2 linked regions of the Pelodiscus sinensis genome follow. The main gene of each other region encodes a partner of the protein of the gene in region 2 in a complex. Links are inferred from orthologs where the notes say so. Each region holds a gene or a part of one and is shown on either strand. Other genes may lie near its edges.

What was found.
Region 1: the proteins of MYO5A (region 2) and MLPH are in contact, whole or in part, in a crystal structure (PDB 4KP3), measured with the Mus musculus proteins. The link is inferred for Pelodiscus sinensis from reciprocal best matches to the Homo sapiens genes MYO5A and MLPH. Residues at the interface, in NP_034994.2 of Mus musculus: Asp1524, Val1527, Arg1528, Leu1531, Thr1532, Ile1535, Asn1536, Lys1539, Ser1570, Gly1571, Leu1588, Thr1589, Asn1590, Phe1591, Asp1592, Leu1593, Ala1594, Glu1595, Tyr1596, Val1599; in NP_443748.2 of Mus musculus: Lys184, Lys186, Arg187, Leu188, Leu189, Ser190, Phe191, Arg192, Asp195, Phe196, Glu197.

Annotation. Positions count from the first base shown.
Region 1 is NC_134717.1:62,045,275-62,053,492, forward strand, and holds the start of MLPH (melanophilin), read right to left. Parts: upstream 3,104-8,218; 5' UTR 2,744-3,103; intron 2,722-2,743; exon of another isoform or gene 2,569-2,721; intron 1-2,568. UniProt on the Homo sapiens protein: Rab effector protein involved in melanosome transport. Serves as link between melanosome-bound RAB27A and the motor protein MYO5A.
Region 2 is NC_134724.1:25,552,772-25,561,397, forward strand, and holds the start of MYO5A (unconventional myosin-Va), read right to left. Parts: upstream 3,608-8,626; 5' UTR 3,489-3,607; coding exon 3,405-3,488; intron 1-3,404. UniProt on the Homo sapiens protein: Processive actin-based motor that can move in large steps approximating the 36-nm pseudo-repeat of the actin filament. Can hydrolyze ATP in the presence of actin, which is essential for its function as a motor protein. Involved in melanosome transport.

The sequences.
Region 1 (8,218 bases), on a different chromosome or scaffold from region 2:
ACAGACACTAAATCAATTATGCACTCGAGTCTTCTGGAATGACCACGTGCATTAAGATTAGACTCGCACGATGATAAGATAATAGGTGCCCGATTCTCAGAAGTGCTGAATGCCCATTAAATTTAATGTGTTTGGTCAGCAATTCTGGAAATGTAACCCCTTGGGTGACTGCCCCACCGCTTTCAAAAGAAGCGGGTGCAAGCAAGAAATGACCAATAACATTTACTTAAAGGGGTGGGAGATTAAGTGAAATGGCATCTTTTCCAAGCTGTCTTCCACTAAGAGAAAAAACTAATGTTTATCGGACCAAATGATGAAGATAAAAAAACATAAGCAGCATTACTGTTTTTCTGCATGCAGCACACAGTAAACCTGTGGAACTCCTTGCCAGAGGATGTTGTGAAGATTAGGACTTTAACAGGGTTCAAAAAAGAGCTGGATAAATTCATGGAGGCTTGGTCCATTAATGGTTATTAGCCAGGATGGTTAGGAATGGTGTCCCTAGCCTCTGTTTGTCTGGAAATGGATGACAGGAGAGGGATCACATGATTACCTGTTGTGTTTACTTCCTCTGGGGCACCTGGCATTGGCCAGTGTCAGCAGACAGGTTGCTGGGATGGATGGACCTTTGGTCTGACCCAGTATGGCCATTCTTATGTCCTGTAAAACTGTAGTGTTTTGAATCAACAAACCTATGGTATTTTAGCATATGGTGATGTCTGTTTGCATTTCCATTATAAAAATCAGCTATATTGGGTTTAAAACTTAAACACATAGCTTGTTCATTCGAGAAATTTATTCCAGAATAAGGCAGGGATATAAATATAAAATGAAACAGCTAATTTGAAATAGATTTATATTTGGACATGGTATTCCAGAATCTGATGTTCTGAAATCTTTGCAGTAATTTTACTTTTTTTTTTTTTTTTTGGCTCGGCACAACTTTAAAATAGGAAGGCCTGAAAACCCCACAATTATTTTGGTTTCTCTAGAGCTGCTGAGGAGGGAGGAGGGAGCTTTTATAATGCTGGGAGAAAAGTAAAAAGGGTTGTTTTTAAAACTGTATCATCAACAAGGCTCATGGCATATCATTTTTAGGTAATAGTTCTTATCCTTATTCGTATTTATATAAATTATAAAGGGGTGAGAGGAAATGAAGGAGGAAGGCATGGCGTAGGCTAAGGGGCTTCAGACATTTATTCTTAAAGACTTTTGAGGTAGAAGAATTGTTCTCCGGAAATCACAGGATATTGTACAGGTGCCAAGTAGACTTCAACAATACAAGTCAGAACTATTTTAATAATATCTGCTCTCTCTCACTCCCCCTCCCCGTGTCCACGCCCTACCCTTCCGGAATGCGTTAAATTTGCAGAGTATTAGCACGCTGCAGTATGCTGTATTTCAGAGCCACAGGATCAACCTAAATATCAGTCCTTGGAAGCAAAATCATTGTTGCCCCTTGCTGGAAGGTGAGGAGTGGTTCTCCATTTAGACTCAATAACAAGAGTCAGATAGAAGGGTGTAGGAAGGGCCCAGCTTGGCATGGTGCAAGGTGCCTTCAATTTCCACTGAAAACAGCAGCATTTGAGGGTCCCTCGCACCTTTCAGGATTAGAACTGAATTGCGCAGACTAAGTGGCATCCTGCGTCCAGCGGGCCTGTGCATTTTTGTGCTCCAAAAAATGAAACTAACCTCCCCTGTAGACAAGGGCCGGGAGGCGTTTTCATTTCAAACGCTACAACCTGAGCTCTTGAAAGTCTTAAAGAGAAGTAACATCCCAGTACCCAATGGTGTTATAGGCGTCAGCCCTACACAGGGCAGATTAGATAGGCATAACAATCTAGGGAGTTGCCCATTTATTCTGCTTATTCGGAAGCTGAAAATGAACCTCTTTGGAGCATAATCCCATACCTCATGTACCCCTTATGGCTCCAATAAAGCCAACAGGAGTTTGGAGGCAAAAGCAGGCAGGAGTATATCTTGACCAGGCTCGTTAACCCACAGAAGCACATTACTAATGGAATTACCACACTCATCAGGAACGACCCTTACATTTTCAAGGGTGGCGTGCAATGTACCTACATAGAAATGGAGTGGCAACCCAGGAAGGGGGTAATTCCCCCATGTATGGCTAAGCGAGGCTGTGTCTGAACCCCATGGCAGCAAGGGCATTCAGAGGAAACCGCTCCCCCCCATGGCGCACTCTTTGGAAAGCTGAGCTAAAGAAAAGGCTCCATCCAGGTCTTGCTTGTTAGTCTTTAAAGTGCTACATAGTCCTGGGTTTTGTTTCAGCTACACCAGACTAACATGGCTCCATTTCTATCATGATTTCAACTGGCCTTTTGCAGCCCCCAGCGGGTATCCGCTATAATATCCGAGCGACACCCCTCCTGAGGCCGGCTGGAAGGGTTCCCAGGGGTCTTGCCTGCCCATGGACTAGCATGGGGCTGTCCTGTCGCACTGTTTAGACGCTCTGGGCTCCTGTTTTACAGGTGAATCCAGACTTTGCTTTGAAGACTCCCCTCCCCCATCATCCAACTGGGGTTTCTCTCCCTCCACCTTTCTTACCTTTGCTGCTGGCAGCACCCTGCCCTTTGCAGACCCGGGCTGGGGATTGCAGCAGGGCAGGGCTGGGGCACTAGCCGGGGCTCAGCTGAAGACAGGGGCAAGCTCCATGAGTAGTAAGCACCCCCAGTCCCTTTCCTGCCCCCCAACTCGCCCCAGATCCGACCCGGCACGTTACCGTGTGCAGGCTGCCGCCACCGCTGCTGTTGCTCGGATCTCGTCTGGCTGGCCGGCGAGCCGGTCCTAGGGGGAGGAGTAAAATAGGGTTTGTCACATGCTGCCGATTAGCCACGCAGCAGCTGCCGCGGAGTCCGGCCCCTGGTCAGTTTCGGTCCGGCGGCGGGGGGACCCTGGGCGGCGGCGGCGGGGGGCAAGAGGCAGGCACCAGGGGACCCAATGCAACGCTGGGGCCAGGCCGGGGGAGGACGAGGTGGTCTCGGCACACTTGGAAAGGCGCAGCAAACTCCAAGCAAGGCGGCAAGGTTTCGTGAGCACGGAAGAGAGCCGGGATTTCAGCCCTGGGGCCTGGAAGCAGGTGATCGTGTACCAGAGAAATAACAAAAATAAAAAAAAAAAACTATGAAAAAAATCCAACCCCCCAACCACATCCCCCTGGTCATCTCCAGCAAATCAGCACTGTGCAGGGGGTCAGACTAGATCAGTGTTTCCCAAATGGTTTTCCGGGGAACCCTGGGGTTCCGTGAGAAAGTTCCATTACAATAACATGTTGTTATTAAAATAATAATAAATATTAAGAATTTTATTGAAACTAGTTTTCATTGGTGTTGATCTCATGACCTTGCTTAGCATTTGTTGTTTATTATCCTTATTTATTTGTGATCGACTTTTTCAGCTCCATATATAAGACTGCTATTAGGGGTTCCACAAAATTCTTTTGAGTTTAAAAAGGTTCTGTGGCCAAATAAAATTGGGAAACACTGGACTAGATGATCATAATGGTCCCTTCTGACCTTAAAGTCGATGAGTCTATGAGCGTTGATTAAGGCTTTGAGAGAAAAAATAAAAATAAAAACATAAACAAAAGGTCAAGTGGAAGCCAGTGCATCCCGTGGGGGCTTTGGGCAGGGGCCAAACAAGTTGTTTGTTTAGTTTAGAAAAGAGAAGATTGAGGGGGACATGATAGCAGTTTTCTGGTTTCTAAAAGGGTGTCATAAGGAGGAGGGAGAAAACTTGTTCATCTTGGCCTCTGAGGATAGAACAAGAAGCAATGGGCTTAAACTGCAGCAAGGGAGGTTTAGGTTGGACATTAGGAAAAAGTACCTAACTGTCAGGGTAGTTAAACACTGGAATAAATTGCCAAGGGAGGTTGTGGAGTCCCCATCTGTGGAGATATTTAAGAGTGGGTTAGATAAATGTCTACCAGGGATGGTCTAGACGGTATTTGGTCCTGCCACGAGGGCAGGGGACTGGACTCGATGACCTCTGGAGGTCCCTTCCAGTCCTAGTATTCTATGATTCTATGATTCCTTCTGTTCCCTGATGGTGAGGAAAGGGACCAGCCAGCAATGTCCCCGTATGAATCTGGGGGGAGCTTCAGTCCCCCGTGCATCCTGAAGGGTGGGAGAGGAGGGGGTTGAAAGGTCGGGGCTGTGGCAGTCCCAGATGGGGGTGGGGGGGAGGCACGCTCCCAAATAGCCCTTTTAACTTGCCTGGTTTGATGAGAAGCCATCAAATGATTTTAGGAATCATTAAAAAAGAGATAGAGAATAAAAAAGAAAATATTTTATTGCCTCTGTATAAATCCCTGGAACACCCACATCTTGAATACTGTACAAATGTGGCTGCCTCATCTCAAAAAAGATATCTTGGCATCGGAAAAGGTTCCAAAAAGGGCAACAAAAACACCCCTTGTCCTGGCACAGCCCAACACTGGCCTTGCTTTAAGTCATGACAAGAGGGATCTGCCTGCCGAATTTGGTGGTCCTACCATTTCGGAGGAGTTCTTGCACAAACAGACATAGAAACAGACTTGCAAGTTGCCATAGTTGAGCAAAAACACTTCCAAACCCAAACCAACCAAACAAAACCTGCAGCGTGAAACCACCGAGCTAGAATTCGTATGCAAAATTGACACCGTCAGAATGCGTCTGAATAGGGACTGGGAATAGCTCACTCATTACAATATGTAAATTTTCCCTTTAGCTATTCCCACCCTCTTATCGCCCTGATTGAATTAGCCTCATTAGCACTGATGTAACCCATCCAATTTCTGTCGTTCTGTATATACTCCTGCCATCTGATTCTTTCGCTTCATGCCTCTGATGAAGTGGGTTCTAGCCCGTGAAAGCGTTTGCCCTAAAAAATAGGTTTCTCTTTAAGGTGCCACCAGACTCCTGGTTGTTTCTGCTGAAACAGACCAAAGTGGCTAATTAACCTCTATGAAAGTGGTTATAGGAGGTCACATTTGTTCTGTTGATTTAGAGCAAGTTTTCATTGCCTTCTCGGCACCTTGTTTGTTTCACAGGCATGATTCAAATCATGCCTCCTCTGATCACATTCCCTTTGGTTCTAGAGTGTTACGTAAGCAGAAACAGTGTCAGCCGTTCTGCTCAAATCGGAAAAGAGCCCCAGGCCTATTCATTACCAAGCTGAGACACATCATCTGACATGGTTTTCCTGCCATGATTTTGCAGTTAGAAACAGTGCCCGCTACAGTCGGAAAAGTGGTGCTCGAAGAGGCGTAGGCAGGGGAACTGGGATCCGGAGTGTTACAGCCAGACGCCTGCGAACGCTCCCTGCTGGTTCGAACGCTGAGCGATGTTCGCTACGCCACAGCCAGATGTACCCCGTGGAAAATCTGGGTTGTGGCTTCCACAGCAATGCCCCTGCCCCCCGCCCTCTAGCACAATTAGAGAGAAAAACGAAGCTGCATGAAGGAACAAAGGATGTAATCAACAGAGACAGAGCAGTGCCCTGTTATGTAACTGGAGTCTAGGGCCAGCTCCTGTTCCCACTGAAACTGGTGGGACAAACGGGGGTGACTTTCAGAGACGCAGGCTGGGACACAGAGCTCGGAGTGGCTCTGCAGCCTCTGGCCCACGAAGCGGGGTTGGTTGGAGGCGCAGAAGCCAGCCCCGTAGAGGGAGACGTGCTGGGCATTCACGGCCTAAGGGCCAAACCTGCCCCTCGCTGTGACCCCCATGCCCTGAGTCGCAAAGCCCCACCCCCACCTTTGGCCCTGCCGCCCCTGTTACGCCGGAGGAGCGGGACTGTGGGTGTAAAACTACGTGGGCAGGGACCCCTGACTGCTTGCAAGCCCAATGCTGCCCTTTTAGGGTCGTTTTCTGTCTGCAGTGGGTATAATTCAAGCTGGCAGATGGTGAAAATGGTTGTAATTTTACCTGAAAGGGAATGAACAGGAAGGAGGGGGGCAGGGAGTGTTGTAGTAACGAGATCTTCATTAAGCATGCTGTGTGGCCCCAGCAGTACCACGCAGAGGTGCCAGAGTTTATGCACAGGCAGCCTGTTCCCAACAGCTCCCTGAATTAGGGCTCTTAGGCCAGGTCTACACTGGACCCGGCAGCTCAGCTTAAGGAATGCAACTCCACCTCTGTAGAACGCATACCTGGAGTCGGCTTACTTTAAGCCGAGTTTAGCGGCATCCCCACGACGGGAGGCCAGTGGGAGCAAACGTTCCTGTCAGCTTCCCTTCCTCCTTGCAGACGCAGAAGTACTGGACGATGGTGGAGGCACCCTCTGACTTTGATTTAGCAAGTCTTAACTAGACCTGCTAAATCAAACTCCGGAAGATCAATCTCGGCAGTAGTGATCTTCTGTTGAATGTAGACAAATCTTAGGGCTGGTTTACATAGGGAACTTACATTGGCATAGCTACCCCCCACGAATCCCACCCCTGGGAGAGAGACACAGCTATGCCAATCTCACCCCGGGGGGTAGAATTCTTCCTTCAACCTAACTTCTGCCTTTCGGGGAGGTGGGTTTCCTGCACGCAGAGCATTCGCCATCACAGAGGAACAAAATGTGCAGCTCACCCACATAGGGAGCCCATCGCATGAGCCAGCCCAAACCGCTCCCGGCAAGGGCATGGGAGGAGAGACTAACTGGTGTCCCGACACGTGCGGGCCGTGGCTGATTGATCTGGTCACTCATGACTTTCCATTCGGCTGGCTGCACTTTGAAAGGGCACCAAACAAGGGGCATGTTTTCCTTGGGGGGTTACCAGCAGGAGCAGCTTTCCCCCGACCTACTGGATTGGCGAAGGCAGCGCGTGTCCGGAGCACAGACGAAGGGGGAAACTGGCATACGCAGTGCAGAATCACAGCACACTGGACCCAGAAGGGACCTTGAGGGAGCAAGTCCAGTCCCCTGCCCTCGTGGCAGGACCCAGCACCATCTAAATCATAGGATCCCAGGGCTGGAAGAGACCTCAGGACGGCATCGAGTCCAGCTCCCTGCCCAAGGCAGGACCAACCCCAACTCCATCATCCCAGCCAAGGCTTTGTCAAGCTAAGACTTAAAAACCTCTAGGGATGGAGATTCCACCCCCTCCCTAGGGAACCCAGCCCAGTGCTTCACCCCCTCCTAGTGACAGAGTGGGGGAGGTCTAGGTTGGATAGTAGGAAAAATGAATATCTAACCTAGATCATCCCTGACAGGTGTCTGTCCAACCTGCTCTTAGATCTCTCCAGTGATGGAGATTCCACAACCCCCCTAGGAACTTATTCCAGTGTTTCACCCCCCTGCACAGTGAGGAAGTGTGGCACAGCATGTGGGGAAAGGAAAGGAAACAGCCAGGGGGGATGTCCTCTCTCTCCCGATTCAAATCGCGTCTTGCTTAACGCAGCTGGAGCAACCTTCTCTCCTACACCCACGTCAGTAGAATGAGCCGAGGAAAGTCAATTTCACGCTCGCTGCGGTGCCAGGAAGCCCGTCGGTGGCATGCGAGAGCCAGGAAGCATTTACACCTTGTTCCAGTAGCATAAAGGGTCTGAGAAGCCGCCTGCTTATCAATCTGCTCATGTCATGTGCCAGGCTAGCTACTTCGTGAGCTGTGGCTGGAGGCCAGCCTGGGAGCTGGGCATTTTCCATGCTCTGCCCTTGCTCTGCTCCGTCTCTCTTTGGCCTGTCTGTGTCTGCCTCTTAGCTATAGAATGGGGCGCACACTGGCTCGCCGGCATGTTACAAGCATTGATTCATACATTTGGAGGGGGCTCTGAAGAGGTAGGCTGGGATGCAAAGGGGCAGTAGGGACATAGGCCTTTGACTCTCACTGGCTGGAAGTGGCACTTGAAAAATGCCACCCAGCAAGTGCCAAATACTAAAGATTTATATCCAAGTTGCAGGCTGGCTGGACCCGAAGGGAAGGAGGGGGAGGGCTCTTCTAGGGATGCACAGGAAATAAAGCCGCAGCCTTCAACATGCGTGACTCAAAATATGAGCAGGAGATTCGCTAGGATGATAAATGTGCCAGAGATAAGGGGGGGAGGGCAGAAAGAGAAATGGTTGTGGGGAAGCGTGCCACGGGCAGACCTGTTTTTAAAGTGGTGCCTTGATTCATTAGGGGAAAGTGGCGTTTCCCGTCTGCCAAGGGCCATGTGCCAAGGGTCTAGCCAGGTCCCCCTGCAACATGCTCAAAAGAGGGAGGTCCCTCTATCGTCGTTCTTTCATTGCT
Region 2 (8,626 bases):
CTCAGTTGGAGTATTGTGTCCAGTTCTGGGCACCGCATTTCAAGAAAGATGTGGAGAAATTGGAGAGGGTCCAGAGAAGACCAACAAGAATGATTAAAGCGCTAGATAAGATGACCTATGAAGGAAGGCTGAAAGAATTGGGTTTGTTTAGTTTAGAAAAGAGAAGATTGAGGGGGGACATGATAGCCTTTTTCAGGTATCTAAAAGGGTGTCATAAGGAGGAGGGAGAAAACTTGTTCATCTTGGCCTCTGAGGATAGAACAAGAAGCAATGGGCTTAAACTGCAGCAAGGGAGGTTTAGGTTGGACACTAGGAAAAAGTTCCTAACTGTCAGGGTAGTCAAACACTGGAATAAATTGCCCAGGGAGGTTGTAGAATCCCCATCTCTGGAGATATTTAAGAGTAGGTTAGATAAATGTGTATCAGGGATGGTCTAGACAATATTTGGTCCTGCCATGGGGGCAGGGGACTGGACTCGATGACCTCTTGAGGTCCCTTCCAGTCCTAGTATTCTATGATTTCACTGTGTTACAATTCAATCGGTGGAAAAATTCCATACATTCTCCAATTTTGAAGAGAAATAGGCAAACTTGGTAGGATTATACAGTCAGTGTTTCAGGGTTAACTCTTTAAGTAGCTTCACTTTAAGACGCAAAGAAGTTAGTTCTAAAAAGAGAAGTGAAACAACTTGTTAAAACCACAAATTTAAAGAATGTATAGGTTTACAGCTAAATACTAAAAATCACGCCATTAGTCCAAATCCACAGTCAAGTCAATAATGACTGACACTCATTACCATCTGTGGGCTCTTTGGTATTCAGTAATGAGTGGGATGTTCTGTCCTCTGAAAACTAGCTCTGATATTCCCATCAGAAGATGTACCACAACTGCTACCAATAGGCAACATGGATGGCACTCTCATCTAAGAGGCCCAGGAATGAATAGCAATGCTCTCTTTGGATCTAGGTTAGGTATCACTGTAGCTATGTAGAAAACTTCAGTGTCCAAGACTACCAAACACCATTCACGGGCATTAAAAATTTGCACAAATTATAACAACCTAATTCAAGTCAAAATGTTACTCTTACAATATTCTTTTGACTCAGATCTTGTCAGGTGAAAGAGAAGGGGGTCTTAACACACCTCCTCTCACCTGTCAAGACCTTCAAGTTAATTGCCAAATGACATCCTCAAAATAGAAGCCCTGTGTTTCTCTTCTCTGCTTTAGTTGTTAACAGTGTCATGGATTCTTGCAGGGGTAGTACAGAACCTTCAAATCAGGTCTTTATATTAAAATGAAAGGCTCTAAGTTAAAACATTTTTAATATAAAAATTATATTGATTCCTCCTTACCACCAAATTCTATTACTAATTTTAAGGCTCTTCAAACAGATTCCTCTCCCCTCCCCCCTTCAAAAAAGCTTTCAAGTTCACCTGTACAGGAAAGGCTGATGAGACAACTGAACTGACTCACTCTGCCAACAGCTATGAGCCAATGTCCTGCTTACAGAGCCTTCCAGATGGGGGGATGGAGAACATAGACAGTGGTGAATGCATCTGTCTGTTAACCCTTGGTTCATAGATACAGGAAGTGGAAATCACTTCTTTTGTATCATTGCTACTGATTTAGCACTGAGCCATCTGCAATGTTCTAATGGGATTAGTTGGCACGTCCAGAATTTAACAGGGCAGGAAGAGAAAATAAAGGGTTATAGTGATCATACTGCACCCCAGTGTACTATAGCACTAGAAGCGAGAAACTGAAGTTATTCAAGGAAATTTGGAGCAGTAACTGATAGCCTATCCTGCAGGCTTATTAGAGGCGACATTCATAAATGTTTGCAAAGCTTCTGGACTATGGAAAACTGATAAACTGTTAGGATAAAAACAAGGGAACGTGCACATGTAAAGAGAAACATTAGATTTTACATTAGGATAACCTAACAGTTAAAATACCAAGGAAAAGATTGCACTTTCCCAAACGTCTTCTTACAAATTTGTGAGTAAATCCTGAGGGCTTCCCTCATTTTTTACTCAGACACAACTTTCACTACAGTAAAACCTGAACTAAACCACAAAGGTATGTGTATAGTGCTAAGGTTAAAACAGCAGTGCAGCAAATCCTGGCTATTAAATTACTTTAACTTGAGAGCTAAGCAAAGATGCTGTCGGGCTCATGGGAAGAGCGGTGAACCTTTCAAAATAAGCCATGTGTACCTTGTTGCCACACAGTGAAGCTCAATTACAGCCACTAACAGATAATATCAATTCAGAACTCTAAGGCATAGCCACCTGTGACATAGCACATTCTGAGTCACGGAGGAACAGTCTGGGCAGATTTCCATAAAACACATGCTAGTGCACGCGATACTTGTCCCATCTTGATAATGCCCAGAACAAAGTTTTAAAACATGGGGTCAGAGGAAGACACACAATCATCTATACCTTGGCTCTGCACCCAGCATTCTGTGCATCTCTCCCCACTCTTCTTTCCAGGCTCAGAAACCATTTATTCTAACTGCCAACATTTTTACCTGGTTTATTTTAATCTGATGACCCACTTGCACTAGCATGTAAAAATAAGAGTAGGACAAAACCTGATACAGTCTCACATCCTATTTGCTGGAGGACTTTTTCCGCATACATTCCATTCTTTTGAAAACATCTTTTTAAGCCACACCTTGATAAAGCCCTAAGGGACCAAAATGTGCTTAGTTATACACTTTGTTGCTGCGCCGGGAAGCACACAAGCTGACTGCACCTTGTTTTGCTACATACCACTGTTAATAAGTGAGTTACCCCAGTTTACACCAGCATAAACTGGAATCAGATTCTAGCCCACAGAACCTTCAACGGTCTGATAAAATAGGAAGAGTCACAATAATATTTAGAGCTATCCACCCACATTAAAAGTGACTGTTAAAAAGTTAGTATGCATCTATTTGGATTCCTGATGCATTTCATTCAGTACCATATTTCAATAAGTAGTTATATTCCTTTTCTTCACAAATACTGTATATTCAGCTACTGTCACCAAGTCAATGTTGTGTTGCCTTTCATTATCTGAGATTGCTGTGGCATGAATCCCATTATAATAAACAGATAATAAAAACAAATATTACACACTGACATACAATACCACAAGCGCTAATGTCTCTTATTGGGGAAAAAAACCCATGAGATATTTAAAAAGAAACCAACAAAAAAGAGACCCAGTCCCAAACCATAAAACCATCATCTGTCATGTTTGAAAGAATCTTGTTGCTATTAACAATGAATCAGAATAAATCAAAACTAAACTTTCATTAAGCACTGGTACAAACACAGAGACTGCGTATCCATATCAAAAGGTTTCGATTTTATTAAAACAAAGAACATGAAAAAAGTCAACAGATTACACTTACTTTAATGTACATATAGTCTAAATCATCTACCACCACCCAGTACCTCTGGTGGTACACGCTTCCAGCATCTTGCACCTCAGTCATAGTTTCCTTTTCATGTGAAAGGAATTTACTTGGAGTGAAGAGTATTTCCACTTTGTTCACACTTGGTCTGCAGTAACAACTAGGCCAGCCGCGGCCTCTCTCTCTTATCTCTGCAACATAACTACTAAGATCATCTTCTTTTAAAGATATGCATTAATAACCCATGAAAATCTGCAAGGAAAACGTGTGACAAGCCAGGCTGGGGCAATGAATTGCTTCATTGTTTAAGTGATTCACCATATTTTAGCTTATTTCTCCAGGGACACAAAGAGTGAGTGTGTTTTTTTGTTTAAGACACTAAAAAAAAATGGCAGAACCCACTGTCTTGTGATAATCAAATGGAGAAACTAGAAAACATAAGTAATTCCAGTACCAATGAATGATTTATTTGTCTTATCTGTTTTCAATAAGGAGCTCATATGCAAATATCTCAAATCTTACAGAAAATACACGTTACACTTTTCCCTATTTAAAACTACATTACAAACCTGCAGTTTTCATTTAACTACAGGTACACTGAAAACATGAATTGGAAGAACCTTTATGCACCAAGATAACTGAAGTTATAATTTTCCCCTCACCTGTTACACTGAAGACTAAAGCAAGGTATGAGACATATAGTAGCATTGCTTCCATTTTGCATTTAATTTTGTAACCCAGACTATCATCAGACCAGGAGAATAGGTAATTTAGAAGGCTCTCAATTGTATAAATTGTGCTTATGCCCAGGGGTGGCCTGAGGTGGGCTGTGGCAGCTGGCGCCCCAGGCGGAACGCGCGATTGGCACCCCCGCCTGCACAGCCCTCAACGACGTGACGTCATCATTGGGCACCCCGGGCGCCTCGTGACATCATCATTGGGCATCCCAGGGACCCTGTTGAAGGCGGCGCCGTAGGCCACAGCCAAGTTGGCCTATACTCACGGGCCGCCCCGCTTATGCCATACATCTCTCAATAACTAAACCAACTCAATAAGCCAGTTCTCCTGTTAATTATTAGTTCCATCTTAATTAATTATGTGCTAGCCATAGCTGTAGCAGAAGCCACTATTTCATGGAGGTTAAAAGTCAATTGAAGATTACAGACTTGATAAGCAACCGGGAAGAAATAAGGAAGGTATTAAACAGAATTCATTAATAACACTTCTACCAAACAGCATGATGGTAACAAGCCTGAATATACTCCTGCAATTACACTTGGATTAGACCTCTTCTGGTCAATATCTGCACCCTCGTTGTCAAGCCTATATAACGAGTGCCAATGTGAGGCCTGCAACCCAGAAATATATCCAATTCAGCATGTGGCCACATAGATTTTTAAGAAAGAGAGGCAGCCTTAGAAGACTCTGCTCCACCTTGCAAGGAACTATAATGGATTCCACATTAAAAGGGAGAGCAAATGCAAGTGAAGTGCAGTCCTCAACTCTTCCCAAGTTACCAATGAACCCATCACTGAGCAAAGTTTCAGCTTCCCTACTCTTACACCACTACCTTTTATGCTTCTGTCCTTCCAACGCTTGCCACCATTGGCAGGTGGAGATGGCATTAAGCAGTTAGTGATGGTGACTGTTTTCAAAACAATTCTATTGTGCTTCCCTTCCTCCAGACACACCAGCCCCACCTCTCTCCCTCCCCAGCTGCCCGACAGGGAGCGAAGATTGGGAAAGCCCAGCTCTATCCTCTTCCCCCGCCCCCAGCCACACCAGTCCTGGCTAGCCCCAGCTCTCCCCCTGACCCCAGCCATCAGGGAAGGTAGAGGGAAAGTAGAGCCAGCCTTGGCTCTACCTCCTTCTCCCCCAAGCTGTGCCAGCCCCAGCTCTCCCCCACCTCTCCCCAGCCACCGAGGAGGGCTGAGGCCTCACCAGGTCCCGTGCTCTCCCCCTGGTCATCAGGTCGGAGAGGGTCCGGGCCAAGGTCTCACCTGATGTCAGCCGACGGTCAGGGCAGTGTGTGTGTGTATGCTTCCGAGAAAAGGTTTAACGTCCGTGTCTTTACTGCTAGGACCGGGGTCCCGTCGCAGAGGGTGGCCAGCAGGCCAACAGACGCCCCGTTATATAGAAAGAGCTTATTACACCTTAGATCTTAACTGCTAGAACACAGGGGTTCCTTCGCAGCGGGCAGCCTGGGAAAGGCTGGAAAGGTGCCCTAACGGATCTTGTCACCTGGGAGTGACACAGATCCAAATGCCCAAGCTCTCCCTATGTCTGTCCCTTTATGACCGGCTGAAGTTCTTTTAAATTGTGCTTGATTCTGTTACAGCAACTGAAGGAGTCAGGTTAAAGCTTAAACAGTTACAGGTTTATTAAAAGACTTATAAAAGCATATGGTTACAATGGCTATTGCTCTATTTCTTAAATGCTAACAAATACAGATTTTAAAAATGGTTACAAAGAAAATAAAGATAGAAAATAGAAATAATGGTACCAAGTGACAGCTTAATCTTTAAAGAGCTCTAAGTCTATGTATATATATACTTAAACAAAGGACCACATCCAGGTACAATTTTTACCCCTTTCTGTGCCTCTCGACTCCAGCGTGTCAGGCCAGGGCCGGTCTCTCAATTCCTAGGAAAGACGAATACGAGGTGGGCGTCCCCTTGGAACCTCGGGAGATCAAACACCTAACCCGACCAGCAGATAGATGGTAGATTGACACTCAAAGAGAATGCGCTGCTGGACCTATCTTTATACCCCTGGGGGCCCGTATTCTCTTTCTTATCTAAGATGCCGAATTCTACTGGTCCGTTTTGTGGCGCCAGTTCTTACAAGCAAGTTTCAAGTTAATTTACACTTGCAAGAGAGATAACTAAATTGTGAGCACTAGACATTTTTTTTACTGGGCGAGAGATTCCTCCCCCCGCGGATGGATGTGTGTTCGTATCAATATGGGTTAAGTCAAGGGCACTCCTTGGCAGCCTCTTGGTCAGCAATTGGCATATCTCTGTTTATAGCCATTCACGGTCACACAGCCTGGGCCTTCTGCTCTGTGTGCCCTGTATGCTCCAGGCAAGCAAAAATGGATGTTACAAGGGGGTTCCTGTCTGGCTACACCTGACCCTGCACTCTCCCCCCAGCTCTCACCCAAACATCAGGGAAGAGGGAGGCCACGGTGCAGCAATCCTGGCTCCCGAGCACTGGGGAAAGGGTGGGGAAGGAAGGAGTAGGCAGGCGGGATGCAGAGTAATGTGATGATGTCACTGTCGTCCCGCAAGAAAAATAATTTTAGAGTGAGAGAAATTACAGTACACATTTTGCAAATAGGAAAAACAGAAGAAATGAGGTGCCCAGAGTCACACAGCATATTAGCGGAGACCAGAATAGGAGTCTTGACTATTAATCTTCTAATGTAACCACTAAATTCTGCCCCCATTTTCTTATTGATACTTGGCCCTGGTGTTACCATCGTTTCCTCTTCTAATAAACTCAAAGGAGCTGTAGCCCAAGCACAAAGACTTTATTACTATTACACAGAAATGTTCTTAGATTGTCTTTCTTTCTCTAATTAGTTTGGGCCAGGAAGTGAAACCTGCATCATTGGTCAGCGTGAGCTGGGACTGCTCAGTCTCAGATCGCACTGGGTCCCCTGCTGCACCTCTGCCCCCCACCAGAGACAGCGCTGGGGGGAGCCAGCTTTTAAGCCAGCTCCCCCCAGCACTGGCTCCCGCTCCTCCCCCTTGCTCCTCTGATACAGAGGCAGCAAGGATGGGGGAAGCGACTAGTCAAGCAGTGACTTGACTACCCAATAAGCCTACGCTAGGCTTATTGGGTAGTCAACTGCTCAACTAATAGCTTATATCCCTAGGTAATAAGTTGTTCCTGTGCCTCAAGCATGCAGTGCACCAAGATCTCCAACTCAAAGGCTCTGGATGCTTTTCTGTTGGCAAATTACAGAGCCATTCAGTGTCTCACAAAGTGCTGATTCAGTATGTGCCATACAAAGATGGTGCCCACACACAGAGTGAAAGTCAAAGAGTAGTCCGTGTTAAAAGTAGTCAAGCCCATTAATTATGTCATTGACACAACTACTGTCTGGAAAAATTGGACACCACACTGGAAAATGAACAGGTTTTGCTATAAATAGTCAAAGCTCTTTTCTTGGCAGCAGGAGAAAAGTATTTATACCCAAGATACTCACCATTAAGGATTTATCAAGGAAACACCCCAAGAGGCATTTTCATTTGTTTCCCACTTAGATTATTTTGGGGGCTTGGGGACCATAAAGTTATCTCCTAAAATTAAACACAATTCAAATTATGGCTTAACCCTTACAAGCATGCTTAACTTTACACACTGTAATTACTTCCACTGAGGTAAACAGAAATACAGTGAATAAAGTTAAGTGTATGCTTAAGTGTTTGCAGGATAAAGGCCTAGGCAATGCCAAATAATACCCTGAGAATAAGGCATATTTTCAAATAGCTGGAAATCAAACAGCCTTGAGCCCAATGACAGCAATAGTATGTGTTAAAGTCCCAATCCTGGATGGTTAAAGTCAATGGAGCTTTGCTATTAACATCAATGAGCATTCAGTCAAGCCCTAAGAACTCAAACATGTTAGCTTCCATACTGGGTGCAGCTCAAATGTGAAACCAGTCAAGAAGTTGCTCAATCCCACAAACACAGGGTGGTATATTGCTTACTTCCATAAAGCCATGGGGATTGCTCACAGTAAGTAGCAATCACTATCTCATTGTGAGTAGTTTCAGGACTTTTTTTTCAAACATGCAAACACCACCAAATAGTAAAGTAGAGACATCCTGGAGTTCATGGTCTGCCTTTTCCCAAGCATGCACACAAGACAAACCACTAATAAACCAGGAGAGTTCCTGCTGTCATGGTTCACAGTGAAATTGGTTCAAATACTGCTCTTGCCTCCATTCAGTCACCAGAAAGAATCCCAAGACACCAATAAGGAAGGAGGGAACAAAACAGACTACAGAATCCATGATTTCTGTAAGAAACGTACAACTCCCGACTACACCATTGGCATACAGGCCAGAGTACCAGGTTTGCCAGATTTTGCTTCTCAAAGGCTATGTCTACATTACACTGCTCTTCAGGAAAAATCTACGTAAATTGCGAACCACAATTGGAGTAGCTTTTTATGCTTCTTTTTTCGGAAGAGGCTTTTCTGACATTTG